Linked DNA regions of Yarrowia lipolytica. The protein of the gene in region 1 interacts with the protein of each later gene in a pairwise test. Links are inferred from orthologs where the notes say so. Each region holds a gene or a part of one and is shown in the gene's direction. Other genes may lie near its edges.

The links.
Region 2: the proteins of YALI1_D16981g (region 1) and YALI1_C10016g interact in binary tests that used the Saccharomyces cerevisiae proteins (3 or more experiments, as listed by UniProt). The link is inferred for Yarrowia lipolytica from reciprocal best matches to the Saccharomyces cerevisiae genes RVS167 and NVJ2.
Region 3: the proteins of YALI1_D16981g (region 1) and YALI1_B18645g interact in binary tests that used the Saccharomyces cerevisiae proteins (3 or more experiments, as listed by UniProt). The link is inferred for Yarrowia lipolytica from reciprocal best matches to the Saccharomyces cerevisiae genes RVS167 and ABP1.

What each region holds. Positions count from the first base shown.
Region 1 is NC_090773.1:1,695,706-1,700,477, reverse strand, and holds YALI1_D16981g (uncharacterized protein), read left to right. Parts: upstream 1-2,306; coding exon 2,307-3,560; downstream 3,561-4,772. Other genes in the region: YALI1_D16997g (uncharacterized protein), read right to left, coding at 1-735; YALI1_D16990g (uncharacterized protein), read right to left, coding at 980-1,465; YALI1_D16959g (uncharacterized protein), read left to right, coding at 4,423-4,461, 4,519-4,698. UniProt on the Saccharomyces cerevisiae protein: Component of a cytoskeletal structure that is required for the formation of endocytic vesicles at the plasma membrane level.
Region 2 is NC_090772.1:997,566-1,003,926, reverse strand, and holds YALI1_C10016g (uncharacterized protein), read left to right. Parts: upstream 1-2,265; coding exon 2,266-5,124; downstream 5,125-6,361. Other genes in the region: YALI1_C10041g (uncharacterized protein), read left to right, coding at 1-1,010; YALI1_C09977g (uncharacterized protein), read left to right, coding at 6,188-6,361. UniProt on the Saccharomyces cerevisiae protein: During endoplasmic reticulum (ER) stress or when cellular ceramide levels increase, induces contacts between the ER and medial-Golgi complex to facilitate non-vesicular transport of ceramides from the ER to the Golgi complex where they are converted to complex sphingolipids, preventing toxic ceramide accumulation.
Region 3 is NC_090771.1:1,861,920-1,868,075, forward strand, and holds YALI1_B18645g (uncharacterized protein), read left to right. Parts: upstream 1-2,675; coding exon 2,676-5,072; downstream 5,073-6,156. Other genes in the region: YALI1_B18631g (uncharacterized protein), read right to left, coding at 163-1,245; YALI1_B18687g (uncharacterized protein), read right to left, coding at 5,372-6,156. UniProt on the Saccharomyces cerevisiae protein: Regulates ARP2/3 complex-mediated actin assembly. Recruits ARP2/3 complex to sides of preexisting actin filaments, which may promote nucleation or stabilization of filament branches. Binds to actin filaments, but not actin monomers.

The sequences.
Region 1 (4,772 bases):
TCACCCCTTGTAAGCCCCCCACGTCAATTCAACATCGCCATTGTCCCTCCTCCATCGCTCATAACTCCTCCGATTGAACCTCCTCCAATTGCTGTCCGGGCCATAGTACCAGCCGTCGTTTTCATGGGCAGGCTTGAAAGCAATGATGGTGGCAAAAAACATGACCAGCGAACACAAAACCACATACATGCACAACTTGGACACGGCAGGAGACCGCCAGATGAACTTGTGTGTGTAGATACACAGACACAAAGACATAAGCCCCCATAGAGAGATGAGTAGAGGGATTAACACGTCCATAGGTATATCATCGTTGGCATTGTCGTATTGGGAGTCGAATTGTTCGTCGTATAGGTTGTCGTATCGATCGTAACCATCGTATACATCATTGCCGCTCAACAGGTCATCTTTCGCAGTACTTGTACCACCTCCATCGCTGACTCCCATGATGATGATCCAAATGCATCCCACCCCACCATACTTTGCATATGTATCACTGGGGTTAGGGTAGAAGCAGGTAGTGTCGGGGTTTCGGGTTGGTTTTGTGGTTGTTTCGGAGGTGGTTTCCGGCTGTTTCTGGTGTATAGTTATTTTTTGAGATTTTCTGGGATTTGTGGGAGTCTTGGAGTTCTGTATGATGATTTCTGTGTATTTTGTGCTGCTTCTAATTACAGTGTATGTTTGAGAGCGGTTCAATAAAAAACAAAATACCCAATAAATCAATAAAAACCACATAAATACAATATTAGTATGAGAAAATTCGGCAAAAACTAACGGATATTCTCCAAACTCCTTACGGTCACGTTATCTCAAAAATGGTCGTTTCGGAAACATCCCTCCATATATGTCTCGATAATTGGTGCTAGTGGAACCATAATTGAGGTATTAGTTAAGGGAAAGTTTTGCGAGACATACTGGGGGTTTTGGTGAGTTTTTGGGGGCGGTGTTTGGTGTCGGACGCGTCGACATGAGCTCAGTATCAGTATGGACGTGTCTGATTGGTTGAATTGTAAGAATGTGCGGAGTAGTGTGCAAAATCGATGAAGACCATAAAACATTGAAGAAAAAACTGACAAATAAAATTAAATAAATGAACATAAAATAAATGAAAATAGATTAAAAAAAAAAAAAAAAAAAAAAAAAAAAAAAAAAAAAAAAAAAAAAAAAAAAAAAACACAACAACCCACAAACGCCACAAACGCCACAAACGCCCACAAAACCACCCAAAACCGGCCACGAAACCACTTGCAAAAAACGAAGCAAATATCCACCCTACACTTGTATCTCTTGTCCGTTGCCAAGACCAATAGGGCGGAAGATTAGTGTTTAGGATGGGGCTGAGAATGTCAATGATAAGCGATGGGGACTGAAAAACGCGTGTGGAAAGACGGGGAAAAATAGGAAAAAATGGAGAAAATTGAGGAAAATAACGAGCAGAATGTATCCATCTTTTCGGTATTTTCATTTTCCTTCTCAGACCATTACTCGTCGCTTCATTCCGATGCGATTGTGGCACATGTCTTGTTTAAGACAAGGTGATGCGGTGCATAAGTGGGGCCCTGATGGTCCCCCGTTGGAGTCTTGGGGGCAACCAAGGGCGATTGTTGGAGCCGTCAACGGTGCTTGATGACCAGGACCAGCAACACCGGCTTTTTTAGTCGCCGAAAAGCCGAAAAACCCGGCCCACTTTGCTCCGCTCAGCCATCGTGCCATGCACTCATTCTTACATGCGGCATCACTGTCTCACGTATAATTGCAGAGTTTGATTAAGCTGTTATCTGGTGGAGTATGATGCTGGAGCGGATAGCTAGCGGTATCTATAGACGGAGAGTGATACAAGTCGTGCGGCTACTCAAAGTCGGCATTTGGACGACTTATATCCCAGACGGGAAGGCGTCACGTGATACCACTGCTTGGTGTTTCGTCTCCTCTTGTGACGCAATACGACTTGCACGCACGATACCCAACTGTCATCTTACCATACATACTGTACATCACCACCACTAGCACGACACTAAGAGCATTAGCAGGACGATAGCGGGCTTTTTTTGGGTGGAGAAAAAATAGCAAAAAAAAAAAGCGGCGCGTGCGACGACAGCAACGATATCTGTCGTCTTTGTTTTGGGCCGTTTTGTGTGTGCTTTGTTGCCACCGGTGCCGGTTCACCACCTCCGCAAAGGTTACCCGGCTGAGACATTTGGAGCACAGGTTGGTGCGTCACGCAAGCTGGTCTAAACACAGTGAGTAGCAACACACACTACATTATCCCACCCACTCCACGCCACGTGTGGTGACCTGTTTGCGCCATGTCTATGAAAGGAATCACCAAGGGCATCGCCCGAGCGCCTCAGTCGTTCAAGGCCAAGTTCAATATTGGGGAGCAGACCAAGGATCTGGTCTACATTGACGCCGAGAGGCGGTTCAAGGAGCTCGAGAAGGAGACCAAGAAGCTGCACGAGGAGTCGAAAAAGTACTTTGACGCGATCAACGGCATGCTGGAGCACCAGATCCAGTTCTCCAAGGCGATTGAGGAGATCTACAAGCCCATTTCTGGACGGCTGTCGGACCCCAACGGAGCCATTCCCGAGGGCAACCCCGAAGGTATCAGTGCATGCGAGCAGTACCGTGAGGTGGTCAACGATCTGCAGGCAACGCTCAAGCCCGAGCTGGAGATGATCGATTCGCGAATCATTGGCCCCGCCAACGAGCTGCTGGAGGTGATCAACTCGATTCGAAAGATGGCCACAAAGCGTGCCCACAAACAGCTGGATCTCGACCGACACAACAACTCGCTGAAAAAGTACCAGGATAAGAAGGAACGAAGCGTCAACGACGAGAAGAAGATGTACTCGGCCGAGTCAGCCGTCGAAATCGCCCAGCAGGAGTACGACTACTACAACGACATGCTCAAGGAGGAGCTGCCGCAGCTGTTTGAGCTGGAGGCCCAGTTCATCGCTCCTCTCTTCCAGTCCTTCTACTACATGCAGCTCAACGTCTTCTACACCCTCTACATCCGCATGGAGGAAATGAAGATTCCCTACTTTGACCTCACCAACGAGGACATCGAGGGCGCCTTTGCTGCCAAGCGGGGCGACGTTGCCGAGCGAACTGAACAGCTCTCCATCACCCAGTTCCGAGTCGGACACGCCCGTGCCAAGCTCGAAATGACAAAGCGACGGTTTGCAAAGGACAAGGATAAGGAGGCCGCTGCAGGAGCTGCCCCCGTCGCCGGTGCTGCGCCGCCCGCTTATGGAGGCGAGGAGGCCGCCGACCCTGCTGCAGCTGCCGCTGCCGCTCCCGCCGCGTACACCGCCACCGGCTACCCCAACGAAAAGGCCGTGTACACGCCTCCCGGGGCTCCTGCAGCCGCCGCTCCCGCAGCTGAAACCTGCACCGCCCTGTACGACTACGAGGCGCAGGCTGCTGGCGACCTGTCGTTTTCCGCCGGACAGGTCATCACCATTGTTCAGCGAACCGCTGACACCAACGGTTGGTGGACGGGTATTGTCGGGGGACACCAGGGAGTGTTTCCTGGAAATTATGTTCAGTTGAATGCGTAACCGCAGCGAGCGAAGCGAAGCCAGGTTGTTTGTGATCTGGCCTTGGTGGTGAGCCTGAATTATGATTTCACCGCCATCACGGAACTGCACTTGAACGGGCATTTAATAGTAATGAGATATGTATGCATTGGTTTTGGTAGTGTAGGAGTTGGTAGGATATGGAGCTCTAGAACAAGTATGTGTCTAGAGTGAATGGATATGTCCCTAACAGCTTCAGACTCAAGGAAGATGACAGAATGATCTGATACCACGAGCAAGAACACACTTGAGACATGATGACATTGAAAGTCGATTCAAGGTGTGTCCATTCTACAAGTAGTTGATATGTTAGGAAGTATGGGACTATTTTAACGAGAAATGGAACTGCTCGAATGATATGATGAAGTCTGTGCGAGTCCACGGGTCGTATATACTTGTATACTCTTCTGGATGCTCATCCAGTTGCCCTCCTTTCCAAGAATTACATACTGGAGCACATAGTGTAGGTACATGTAACAAATAATGCCTTCTAACAAAAAGACAAGACAAATTAATGACAAGGGATGTCTTTTCGGGACTTGCCAGGTGACTATGGAGTTGCTGGCGGTGTCCACGATATCTGACGATGGACGAATGTAGTCGCATCACTCATGCAGAGATAATGCACCTCCGTAGAAGATCGTTGGGTTGGTGGAACGAGTGGGTTTGATGTGGGGTTGGAGCATGGACAAGAGTTTGAGGTGATGGATTGAGCAGTCCAGTTTTTCTGTCAATCTTGGGTTTTTTTTTCTTTCATTTTTTTCCCATTTTTTTTCAATTTATCTGATTTATTTTGATTGTGGAAAAAATCGGAATAATTAGTTAAAATACTCTAAAACACCCCATGGCACGTCTGAGGCTCCGCTACAAGTACGTTCATGATGTTCACGAAAGGTAACCGTCTTTCTTCGAATACACCGATCCCCACTGCTTCGACAAGTTCTACATCATCGGGTCATGTTTCACCGAGATTGCTGCTCAGCTGCCACCGACCCCCGTGTCTCTCAGCCCCTTGTGCAGCCGGTGGAGCAGCGCAGCCGCTTTAATTAACTGTCTTAATGCGTCGTCTTTCCGTCTCCAACAGTCTCGAGTCGGCGTTGCTTTTTTTAGCGCTTCATAACTGCTTCGCTCGCTTCGGAACAAGCGTGAGACATATTCATAGATCATCACAATTAGGGGTATAAATAGAAACAT
Region 2 (6,361 bases), on another chromosome or scaffold:
TGGCAATTGGCATCATTATCGGCAAATTTGTGCCCTCGGCGGGTCCCAATTTGAACAGTACAACTTTCACAGGAGTCTCAGTGCCCATTTTCATTGGACTCTTGCTCACAATGTATCCCATTCTGTGCAAAGTGGAGTTTGAAGATCTTCCCAAGGCTCTCAAAACCCGGGCCATGTGGAAGCAACTGCTTATTTCCTTCATCATCAACTGGATCGTGTCTCCTGCTCTCATGTTTGGTCTCTCATGGGCCTTCTTGCCAGATAAGCCTGAACTCAGAGAAGGTCTCATGATTGTGGGCATTGCCCGATGTATTGCCATGGTTCTAATTTGGAACGAGTTGGCTTTTGGTGACAGCTTCTACTGCGCCGTGCTGGTCTCTTTCAACACCATTCTGCAGATCATTCTCTTCCCTCCTCTTGCATACTTTGTCGTCAACTACGTATCTCAAAACCACAACCATGACCCCCATGTCGGCCATCTGGACTACGGTTCTGTGACCAAATACGTAGCCATCTTCATGGCAATTCCTCTGGCCGCAGCTCTTATTACCCGGTTCTTGTTCAAGAAGATCCCCAACTGGAGCAAACACGAGCACAAGTTCATCCAGTGGATCTCTCCCCTGTCTCTCATCGCTCTACTCTACACCATCATTGTCCTTTTTGCATCTCAGGGAGCCAGGGTGGTGGACCAGATCATCTCTGTGCTACGAGTCTCGGCCCCTCTGGTCGTCTACTTCCTCATCACCTTCACCGGAACCATGCTCTACTGTCTGAAGGTCGGCAAGGTCAACTATGCCATCTCGGTGACCCAGAGCTTTACAGCCGCCAGCAACAACTTTGAGCTGGCCATCGCCATTGCAGCTTCTCTCTTTGGAACCCAGGGTGGCCAGGCTCTAGCCACAACCGTCGGTCCCCTCATCGAGGTGCCCGTTCTGCTGGCTCTCGTCTACATTGCACGATGGTTGAGAGCTCGATGGGTCAAAAACAACCCCAAGGCCCAATCCGTCTGACCGATATATAACATAGACACGATATAGAATAGACTGACTAGTTAAATTCGTTTCGATCATATTGGGTTATGTGCGAGTGGACCTCTGATGGACACGAGGGCACTGTCAACATTAAATGACGATTTAAGAAATCTGCGACTTGTCCGGTGGATGGAGTATCATCAGATTACAATATTCCTCACCTCCAAGTTCTGCAATATTTCCTATGGAGTCGTGCAGAGAAGGATTCTCACTTCGTTAAGTAAAATTCAACTATTGAAGTGTTATTCAGTTAACCCTTTACTTGACGCTATGCTCCCCCCAAAAAGGTGCAGCCCAAGTAACCTTGTTTCTATGGTGAGCAATATAGTTGAGCAAGTTACTTGCATCAGACAATTATTCCACTTCGTCTGCCCGGTACACGTCCCACAATCGCCCTCGCCGGTCCATAATTGCTGCAAAAACCACATCTAATACGCCACAAGCTTCTCGTCATTCCGAACTCAGACCATTCTCGGAGAAGATTAGCTCTTAAATCCGATTGGGGTTACCCGAAGAGGTTTGATGTAGTGACGACCAGGTCCGTAGCGACACGTGCGAATGCCTCTCAATCTTTCTTCCACGGTTTATTGGTAATTTCAACGATTAACGCCCTTTTTTCCCCGAATTTCTGCGATTTTTTCCGCGGATTTTTCATCTTCGACGATCAGTACATAGACCGGAAATAAATCGCGCTTATTGACGAGCAGAAGAAAGACGATTGAGACGGATATTGGACATTTTTTGGCCATTAAAAGCCCCGAAAACACACAAAAAACCCCAAGCACCACCCTCCTCCATTATCTTACCCCTCCAATAGTACTAAAAGAACGAACTAAGGGGCCTTTATTTCCTCGAGTTCCTTATTTATGGAGACCATACTAAAGTTAGCTTACGCTGTCATATTTTCGACAGTGTTCAGAGCGACTGAAACATGCTAGAATAGAGATATAAAGAAGCAGAAAAGTGCGTTTTTCACAGAAAGACTAGTTAATGATATCTACAAGCCTCTATGATCGCCAGATACCCTGCACCGTCCTCTTACAACTCCATCCCCATATCTAGTGGCAATACGTCTCAGACGCATGAGCATAAACCTACTCTGGAGTAGCAGTACTCATACATACGTACGTAGCTACAGTAAACTTGTACCACTCCATCCACCTTCAACTACACAGAACACAGACCTGTTCAACACTACGTCTGCGCTTGTGGTCCGGCCGAATTACGTCACGTGATGCTTTTCATTCTCTGTGTCTACCTTTTTGGAGGCCTCACTTTTCTGCCCGGCTTGATATACCTTTTGTGGAGGTATGCTGGAGACATTGATGGTGATACAACCCCCGATGGTGACCCGGATTTCGAGGCGGAGGAGAAGTACGAAACCGAACCGCTAATTCCTACCAATGTGACCGAGAAACCCGTCTTCTCGGGCTGGGTAACCGTTACTAAGGAGTACTTTGAGTACCCTTCAGGCGACGTGCCAGACAAGAAGGACAATCCCTCAGCCTACACATCGCTCTACAAGCTGGCCAATGGAAACGGCGACGCCAGCAACACAAACATAAACGACAGCGCCTCAAAGGACGCAAATCCGGCAATCCAGGCAGCCAACACAGCCACCGCCAACACAACCACCACAAAACCAAAGCCAGTCAAGTCTCGATACTATGCTGAGCTCAAGCTCGGCAACCTGTTTCTGTACAAGTCCGAGGAGCGCGATCTGCAACACGCCATTGTTCTCAACAAGTACAAGGTCCAGTTGTATCCAGAGCTGCCCGACGCCAACTTGCTGGCCAAGCGGGTGGCGGTCTGTCTGACACACATCAAAAAGGATCTCACATACTACATCTTTCTGGAAAACTGCTCGCTCAAGGAAGATCTTTACTTCCGAATCGTCGAGCTCACGTGCCAGAACTCGCCGAAGGGCAAGGCTCTCATGTTTGACCATCACGACATGATTAACATTATTCAAAAATTGCACTCCTCGGACGAAAACTTGCAGACGGCCTGGTTCAATGCCATCACTGCCCGAATGTTCATGGCGGCATACCAGACAGATGCGTTCCGGGGTTATTTCGAAGAAAAAATAGTCAAGAAGCTCGCTCGAGTAAAAAGACCAGCATTCTTGAGTGAGATCCAAGTCACTAAGATCAACGTGGGTACCTCTATTCCTTTCCTAACGACACCTAAACTTAGAGAGCTCAAGCCCGACGGAACACTTGTTGTGGCTGCTCATCTGTCGTACAACGGAGGATATACAATTGAGATTTCAACCAAGGCCACCTTCAACTTTGGCCAGAAGCTCATCAACATCAAGCCTCGACCTGTGACACTGGTGCTTCGTCTGACTCTTTCGAAGATGGAGGGCATTGTTGTATTCCAGGTCAAGCCTCCTCCTTCCACTCGAATCTGGTGGGGCTTTGAGTCCATGCCTGAGATGAGTCTCAAGGTCGAGCCTGTCGTTTCTGCGCGACAAATCACCTACTCCATGGTCACCAACGTAATTGAGTCTAAGATCCGCGAGATTGTCAAGGAAAGCATTGTTTTGCCGTTCACAGAAGACATCAACTTCTTCCCTTCGCAACCTGGCAATCCTTATAGAGGAGGACTTTGGGAAGATCATCTGGGCAAGGAGGAGGAAATGGAGAACAAGGAGGAGGACCTGACAGATGAGAAGATCGGTGATCATGATGACGAATCTCTTCTGTCTGAAACTCCTCCCCCTTCCATCCATGCTGGAATGCGACATAGAACGTTCCGAGCGTCCCCTGAAGATGATGAAGCAGTAAGCGATAGTGCAGCGACCACCTCTGCCATTGGAACGACTCTTGCTTCTGCTGCTGCCTCTACATCGTCTCTGGCTCATCCCACAACTTCTGACAATGATTCCATCAAGTCTAACAACACCGCCACCACCAACTTCATGGGCACCATGAAGAAGTGGGGCGCTTGGTACACAGAGAAGAAGGCCGAGGCTACCAAAAAGGCCAAGCCTGCTGGAGGTTTTGCGTCTGTCAACAGATCAGCGACCGCGCCCAATCTCACAGCCGACGCCACAGTCTCTCTTTCTCCTGCTGCTGCCATCACCCACAGAAAGCCTTCTGAGAAGAAGGCTCCCCAACCTCATCATTTCCCTCCTGAAATGATTGATCTCATCAACGAGCAAGAACGCAAGAGAAAGCTGTCCAACCCTGACCAACCAATCGGCATGGAAATGCCGGCATCGCCTACTTTGCCTGGATCCCCTCCTGCCCTGCCTCCCAGATCAAACACTGCCTCTGTCGATACTGACAAGAACCAATTTGTGAAACGCAAGCCTGTTCGAGCTGCCACTTCTGTGTCTCCCACCCTGCAGAGCAGTCCCACCATGCCTGTTGCTGTCCCGACCCGTGAGTCCGGCGTGTCGCCCAAGCTGTCACGTGACCCCATTGGTCTTGGTGTGTCACGTGAGTCCGGCTTGTCGCCCTCTTTCGGCGCGTCGCCCAATCTGGCTCCCTCCCCGAAGATTGGCTCTTCGCGTGAGTCTGGAGTAGCTCCCAAGATGAGCTCGTCGCATGACTCCCCCCTCGCTCGTGAGTCCGGCGTTGCTCCCAAGACGTCACGCGATGCACACAAGCGGAGTACGTCTCACGACTCTGCTCAGTCGGCTGCCAAACTAGCTACTTCGGTATCTCGAGACTCTCTGTCTTCGATGAGTTCATTTCGAGACGAGAACAAAGTGTCTGTCGTCTCTCTCCCTGTGGAAGAAGGATCGCCTCCCAAGGAAGCGCTTGTATTCCATTCTCACAAGGCCTCGCCTCTATCTGCTGTCCAAACTCCTCCCGCATCAGATCCTCCTGTGGTTAGTAAGGTGCCCCGGAAGCCCGTAGGTGCTGATAAGAAGGATGTGAATGAGAGCAATGAAGTCAAGGCTGTCAAGGAGGTGAAGGGTGTCACTGATCCCAAGCCTGTAAAGGCGGCCAAGGAAACTGCCAAGGAGATTGCTAAGGAGGTCGCACCTACCAAGGAGGTTATTAGAAAGCCTGTTGGGGATGCACCCAATGCCAATGTTGCCAAAGGGCCCGAAGAAGAGACATTTCCCTTGGAGCTATGATAATAAACGATAGGGACAGGAACGGTGATACGCAGGTGCATGCATTTATATAAGTTATTATATCTGGTTACATTAGTTCCTGGGTTAAATAGTGAACAAGTCCGAGTCTCTCTGGTAGCCCATGATGGTGTTGGCTAGGCAAGACTTCGAGAAGGTGTAGATTCTCACCTCTTCATAAGATACCCCTATCAAGGTGATGAGTGTTTTTCGTGCATGTCACCTACATCCATATAAAACTTGTTCTTGAGGTCTATCAAGCGTTGACAGAACCCTTCTGGTTGTACAACGCTGCATACTGGCCAAATTCTTCATGTTGGGCGACCTTCATTGAGGTGCCAAACCCACATATTCGTACCCCATACAGTCGTGTCTGTGGCCCAAATGTTTCCATCGCAGCACAGTAGCGCTCCGTCTCTTTTCCAGACCTGGTCCATAGGAGGAGTTTTTTGGCGAACTTTCCGCACTGTATAGAACTTGGTTCCGTAAAATGAAACAAAACGACCGAGCTATAGATGTACGAACATCTCCATTAGTTAAATCCACCTGATGTCACTTCATTAAAAAGGGCTTATATGAACTGAAGTCCTTACTAAGGTACGAAGAAGCAGTCACACACGTTGTCCTGGCTGGTGCAGTTCGACCACCACTCACTCGGCGGGTCTAAACTCAGCTCGTACCACATGAGATACAGATAGCGTGCCATAAGAAGTAATAGAGGGAAGAGATCAGAGTTTTATTTACGGTGGAGTTAGCGGGGTATTTCTACTGCTGTAGAAGCGGAGGTGGTGCTCTAAGCTCTGGAGATCTAGAAAATGCCCATATGTAGTCAATTGAAGTTGGTGATGATAACATGGGCTTTCATAGGATTGACTCGCAGTCGACCAGCTAGCCATTAGTCCGTGCGAAGTGTTTCCCTCACATCTATCTGACAATTACCCTTCAATATCTCGTATACAAGCCACACGAACCTACGTAAAGCCACAGGGGAGGCTATATAGAGATCAGTGGAAGACGTCCAGCTTCGGGACTCAGCCAAAAAACAAAACAAAAAAAAGCAGTCAGTATGCCCCACCATCGAGGATTTGACGTGGCCAGCTACAGAGGCTATGATGAGAATGGCGAACTGCCGGCCAAGCGAATCAAGAGCACCAAGAAGATTATTCTCAATGCCTTCGTCATGTTCACTCCTACCCATCTGAACTTTGGACTATGGACCCACCCTGATCACTCGAAGTTC
Region 3 (6,156 bases), on another chromosome or scaffold:
ATGAACGAGATCATACAAGTAACTGATAGTTCGCAAAGAGATCAAGCTATCTTTACTAAGGAGTCGCAATCTTTTCATACATACAGAGAATAAAAATACATTGTAAAGTACCTACTGTTGATGTCTGATCTGTCGTCAATTTGGGTTCCTATCATTCTGTGTTCACTTCTTATCCAGAATTGCAGTATTGACATCACTGATCTTCCACAGAATTAGCATCATTACTGAACGGTAAGGAGCAAACCGATGGGCCACCCAGGTCATTTCATCTGCTGTGGGCACCCTCCATTTACCCTTTGTATCTGGCTTTGACTTGGCTGCTTTTCGAGCGCCAGCCTTTTTAGACTTGCCAGGACTGTGGACCCCATTAATAGGGAGCGAAAAGTCAACCTGCTTGATGATCTCAGCAAGATGAGGACGCTCTTTGAGGTAAACAGATACACCTCTCTGGATACCGAGATCACCCAATGTGAAGACATCCATTCGTTTAAGAGCAAAGAGAAGAAACATGTCCGCTGACCAAGGCCCAATGCCCTTGATGGCGACCAGAGCATCGACAACATCGTCATCGGAGGCAGTACTGAGCCAGTCATCGGACAGAGTTCCATCCTTAAAGGCCGTAGATAGACATGTGATGTATTCTGCCTTCCTTCCAGACAAACCTGCGCTTCTTAAGGCCTCGGTTGGGGTGTCGAGGATCTCCTGTGGGCTCGGAAATTTGCCATCTTCGCTTCCTTCGACTGGAAACAGTTTCTTGAACTTCTTGAGAATCGACTCGGCAGCTGCTCCAGATACCTGTTGTCCAATGATGCCCCTTGTAAGATGTTCGAAGCAATTGTTACACTTTCTGTTGGTTCTGGACTCTTGCCGAGTAGCAGCTTCTTTGACAAAAGAAGTGAACTCGGACGAGTGTACGATATCCTCCAGAGAAGGATCGACATCGAGAATGTACTTGAGGCCCTTGGAGAAATCTGATTCGTAAATTTCGTCCCAGTGACTGTTGTCTTTGGTTACAGGATCTAGCTTGGGTATCAGCTTGATAGACTCAGCCAGGGAAATCTTAGGGGCTGGAGCCAAGGGAGTAGTAGGGATCTCAAGCTTGGTTTTCTGTCTTTTGGGAGTACTGGGAGTCACCACAGGCGCTGTTGTTTCAGGTTCAGCCAGACTTCGCTTGGTTCGCGTTCTTGTTGTCGCAACCATCACCAGTTTGTGGATCGAAGGACGGCGGAAGATGTTCATGCGCATGACATCTGTGAAGGAGGGGTTAGGGATTGTGGGTCGTTATTAAAGTGGAGAGAGAAATGTTGCTGTCAGCAAGATGTATTTTCAGTGGAATGAACGACGTTTTGTATGAGAATCAGATACAAATTGCACTCATCTCTCAAATACTTTCTTGTCCTTGAAAGAGTCAAATGTAAACGTGTTTTCAATTGACAATAATACGTACATACTGTACTCTTACCACACCCACTTTAAATGCAATGCCATTGTTGCGATAAAGCTGAGTTTATCGATGAGATATTGTAATACATTGGGTAAACTACTGCACGAGTACGAGTACTGTACATACTGTAGGGATTGTGTAGCATTTTCTCTTCTGGCCAATAGGATGACACGGCCATGATGGCTATCGCTAGAAAAACAAGATTTTGGCTTATATATAGTCAATCACTCACATTTTGAGAACATCCCTCACACTCAGTTTATCCCTCATTTTACTTGACAGCTTAAACCACTCAAGTGGAGACAGATATCAGCCGTATGGCTTAGCTACAGTAGAGACTACAATTAGTTCCAAATTGAATAGAGACCGTGCGAGATTCAAATTTCATCGTGACTAGACCGCATGACTCACACTTTTCATTATCTGTTGCGCATTGACCATAAGTACTTGAACGTCGTACATATCGCCTACAGCATCTATTTCCAACTCATGGTTTGATCATACGTCATACATGTGTGCTGCGTGGATGGTGTTGCGGATAAAAGCCCGCGTAAATTGACCTCCTGGGGGCTGTGTACACTGACCTTTGGGGATACAAAGAGTGGCTAGCAATACTAGTTATAGAAAAGAGCGACTCAATAAAGCTGCTTAAATCCGATCCCAATTGGGTGGTTCATTCGCTTGAAAGAGCTTGAAAGTCCATCCGGAGATAGCAACAGACAAAAATCCGGTTTATGCAGAACAGCCAGACGTACAACAACAAGTACAATGAAAAAGAGGACAGCAAGGACATGTTGTCACAATTCACAGTCTGGCACTTGCTATTTATCTTGTCAGTCACTGCAAATCAAGTAAAGGGTCGTGAGACGGCATCTAGGCTACGTCTGGCTTATTGTAACTACCAGTACGAGGTGTAGTGCTGAGACATAGACAATACAACTCTGTACAGGTAGAGAGCAGCCTTCATGCGGGGTAGGGGAGGCATACAAGAGAAGAATGATACCCCCAACCACAAACAATTGTCCATTACAAACACATTCTCATCCTTACTTTTTTTCATATCACCCCTCTATCACCCATTCGAACCGCTCCACCATCCGATTGCTCCGAGCTTTAAACTCCACATCACAGTGCATGGTTGGTCTATAACTCTCAATTAGCTCACCACTTGTACATAGTCTCTCCACACACACACTCTTACACACCCAATTACCGCAACACACGTTTCAACATGTCTCTCGACCTAGCTACCAACGGCCAGCAGATCAAGGACGTGTACGGCGCCATTGTCAGCAATGACCCCGAGTTCCCCTGGGCAATCTTTGGTTATGCCACCTCTCCCACAGCGTCCTCGGCCACCATCAAGGTCGCAGCCATCCCTGAGTCTGACACTTCCACTCTGGCCGATTTCCTCGACGAGTTCGAGGAGGGCAAGCTGCAATACGGCCTGGTCCGAGTCCCCGACCCTCACTCGAAGCTACCCAAGATTGTCTACGTGGGCTGGTGTCCTGAGGGAGTCCCCGACCCTCGAGCCAAGGGTGTCTTCAACCCCCATCTCCATGCCCTTGGAAATCTCTTCCACGGCTACCACGTCCAGGTGACTGCCCGAGACCGAGACGATCTCACTGAGGATGTGATCCTGGAGCGGCTGGAGCGAGCCTCTGGTGCCAAGTACGGAGCCACCTCATCCAGAAAGCCCGGAATCTCGTCGGCCATCAAGACCAAGCCCACCTACACAACGCAAAAGTCTGGAGCCGATGAGGAGGACTGGGGAGACGCCCCTGCAGTGGAAACCAAGCCCGTCTCCAAGCCCACACCTGTTGAGTCGTCCTACAAGCCCGTCAAGGTTGACCTGGCCGAGATCCGAAAGAAGGGAGGACCCTCGACCTTCACGTCCGAGGGACGAGACGCCGACTCAGATCGAGGCATTGTCGGTGGCTCCTACAAGCCCGTCGGTAAAATTGACATTGCAGCCATCCGAGCCCAGGGCAAGGGACACAAGGAGTCCTTTGAAAACACCCCCATCAAGACGGACCTCGACAAGCCCAAGCCCAAGGCCACTCCTAAGCCTACCTCTAAGCCTGCCCCTGTCGCCGATGTTGAGGATGAGGACAACCAGAACGGGGACGAGGACGGCGAGCCTATGTCTCTCAAAGACAGAATGAAGGCCTTCCAGAAGCCCTCCAAGTCTTCTTCTACTCCCACTCCCTCCAAGAAGCCCCCTACCACCATTGGTGGAGACGACGACGATGAGGAGGATGAGACCCCCAAGTCTGTTAAGGACCGACTCAACGCTTTCTCCGGGTCTGGACGGCTCACCGAGATGCCCAAGCCCAAGATCGACAAATCTGCTATCCAGTCTCGATTCACACCCGCTGCCTCTCGAGGAACCAAGCCTCTGGCCCCCGCCGGTGATCTGTCGTCTCAGTATGGTCTCAAGACCTCAATTGTGTCTGGTGGATCCCGAGATTTTGCCTCTGAGAACGGTAAGACTCCCGGTCAGATCTGGGCTGAAAAGCATGGAAAGACTCCCCAGCCTGACGTGGCCGTGCCTTCGTCTACCTCCAACGTCTCTTCTGCATCCGACAAGTTCTCCAAGCTGTCTGTGAACGACGATGATGAGGAGGACAAGAAGACTCCTGCTTCTTTCGGTGGTGATGACGACGAAGATGACGAGCCCCACGCATCGGTTTCCGCTCTTCGAGGTGCCTTCAATAAGCCGGCCGTGCATGACGAGCCCAAGAAGTCCACCCCCGCCCCTGCTTCTCGAACCATTCCTCCTCCCCCTCCTTCCGCCTCTCGAGTAAACGACGACGACGATGATGAGGACGAGGACGATGCTCCCGCTGTCTCTGTCTCTGCTCTCCGAGGCGCCTTCAACAAGCCCGCTGCTGCCGACGAAGATGATGCTCCCCCTCCTCCTGCTCGAACAGTGCCCCCGCCTCCTCCCTCTGCATCTCGACCCCCCGCTGATGAGGATGACGACGATGAGGACGAGCACAACAGCTTCTCCAAGGGCGCCTCTGCTCTTCAGGCCGCCTTCTCTGCTGGTGCTGGTACCGGAGGACCTCCTCCTCCTCCTGCTCGAGGAGCTGCCAAAGATGAGGAAGAAGATGATGCTCCTCCCCCCATGCCTGCTCGACACGCCCCTCCTCCCGCCAACGACGATGATGCCCCCCCTCCTATGCCTGCTCGACATGTTGCTAACGACGCTCCTCCTCCTCCCATGCCATCTCGACCTGCTGCCGATGAGCCTCCTGCTCCCGCCCTGCCTTCTCGAGGCGGTGCTGCTGCTGCCACTCCTGCTGCTGTTGTCTCCAGCAAGCCCTCTGCCACCGTGGAGTACGATTACACTAAGGATGAGGAGGGTGAGATCGATCTCGTGGAGGACGAGATCGTCACCGACATTGAGTTCCTGGACGAGAACTGGTGGAGCGGAACCAACTCCAAGGGTGAGTCCGGTCTGTTCCCCTCCAACTATGTCAGGCTTAAGGATGGTGCTGTGCCCACCATTCCCGATCCTGCCGCGGGCTGCCGGGCGCTGCTGCCGGCGCTGCTGCCGGAGCTGGCACTGGCCCCTCTGCCATCGCCCTGTACGACTACGACGCTGCTGAGGACAATGAACTGAGCTTCGCGGCGGACGATATCATCACAGATATTGAATTCATCGACGAGGACTGGTGGACCGGATCGCTCAACGGCAAGCGAAACCTCTTCCCTTCCAACTTTGTTGAGCTCCAGGATTAGCCTAATCGTTCTATGATGTATAAATAATTATGACTTGATGGATTGAACTGATTGTAGATTACTGTGTGAATAGTCGTAGTGCTGTGTTTTGTAAACTTCTATTATAAATTACCACGTCATACTGTGTGTCTATAAGTTAGCATGCCCGTCTGGCTTCCGCGAGCAACAAGATTGTTGTGTTCAAATCTTGGATCTAATAATCTCGCTGAAGAGACGCAGGGTAGCTGCACCCTGTCCCTGTTGAGTAAGCCCTCGTCGAGCAACAATGGCAGCATGAGAATGGATCACGGTAATGTACACGGCGTACTTTTCCCAGCCTAGCTTGTCCATGTTCTCAATCATGCTGAGTACGTCCTCGGAGAAAGGCGCGTTGTTCGCCCAGTTGGCCAGCAATCCTCGGTCTCCTGTGTGTCTAGCCGCCTCCATAGCTTCACCCAGACCGACCACCTTGGTTTCCGACAAAGCAGGCGTGTCGGTGTTGTTAAGATCATCACCTAGAATGACGTCTTCGACGGCAGCTTCAGTGATTCCAGCAGCCATGACATCAGCCTCTTCCTCAACCTTGGACGCGTCCGTTTTAGAAACGGGGGAGGATTGTTTGTCGGTGTTCTCAGTCTTCTCCCCCTTACCGCCAACCTTCCTCTCGTCACCCTCATTCAACCACTCCTCGTCAAAAGTCTCCATCTTGATACTTTCGAGAATCTCACCCATGAGTGCCTTGTCTCCTTCTCTCAGAAACTTGCTGACTCGGTGATTTGAGTTGTTGGTGAAGAACATGGACGCAATTAACACAGCTGTGATAGCTAGGGGACCAACAGTAGCCGCAAAACTCCAGAAGATAAGCTTCTGGCGAATGTGTTCGTGGTAGACGGGGAAAGGAAGGGACCGTTTGGTGGTTCGTTTGAAGTCAATGATTCGAGGCGAGTGGCTCCAGCCGTAGCTGTCCACCACGGGTTCTTGCAGCT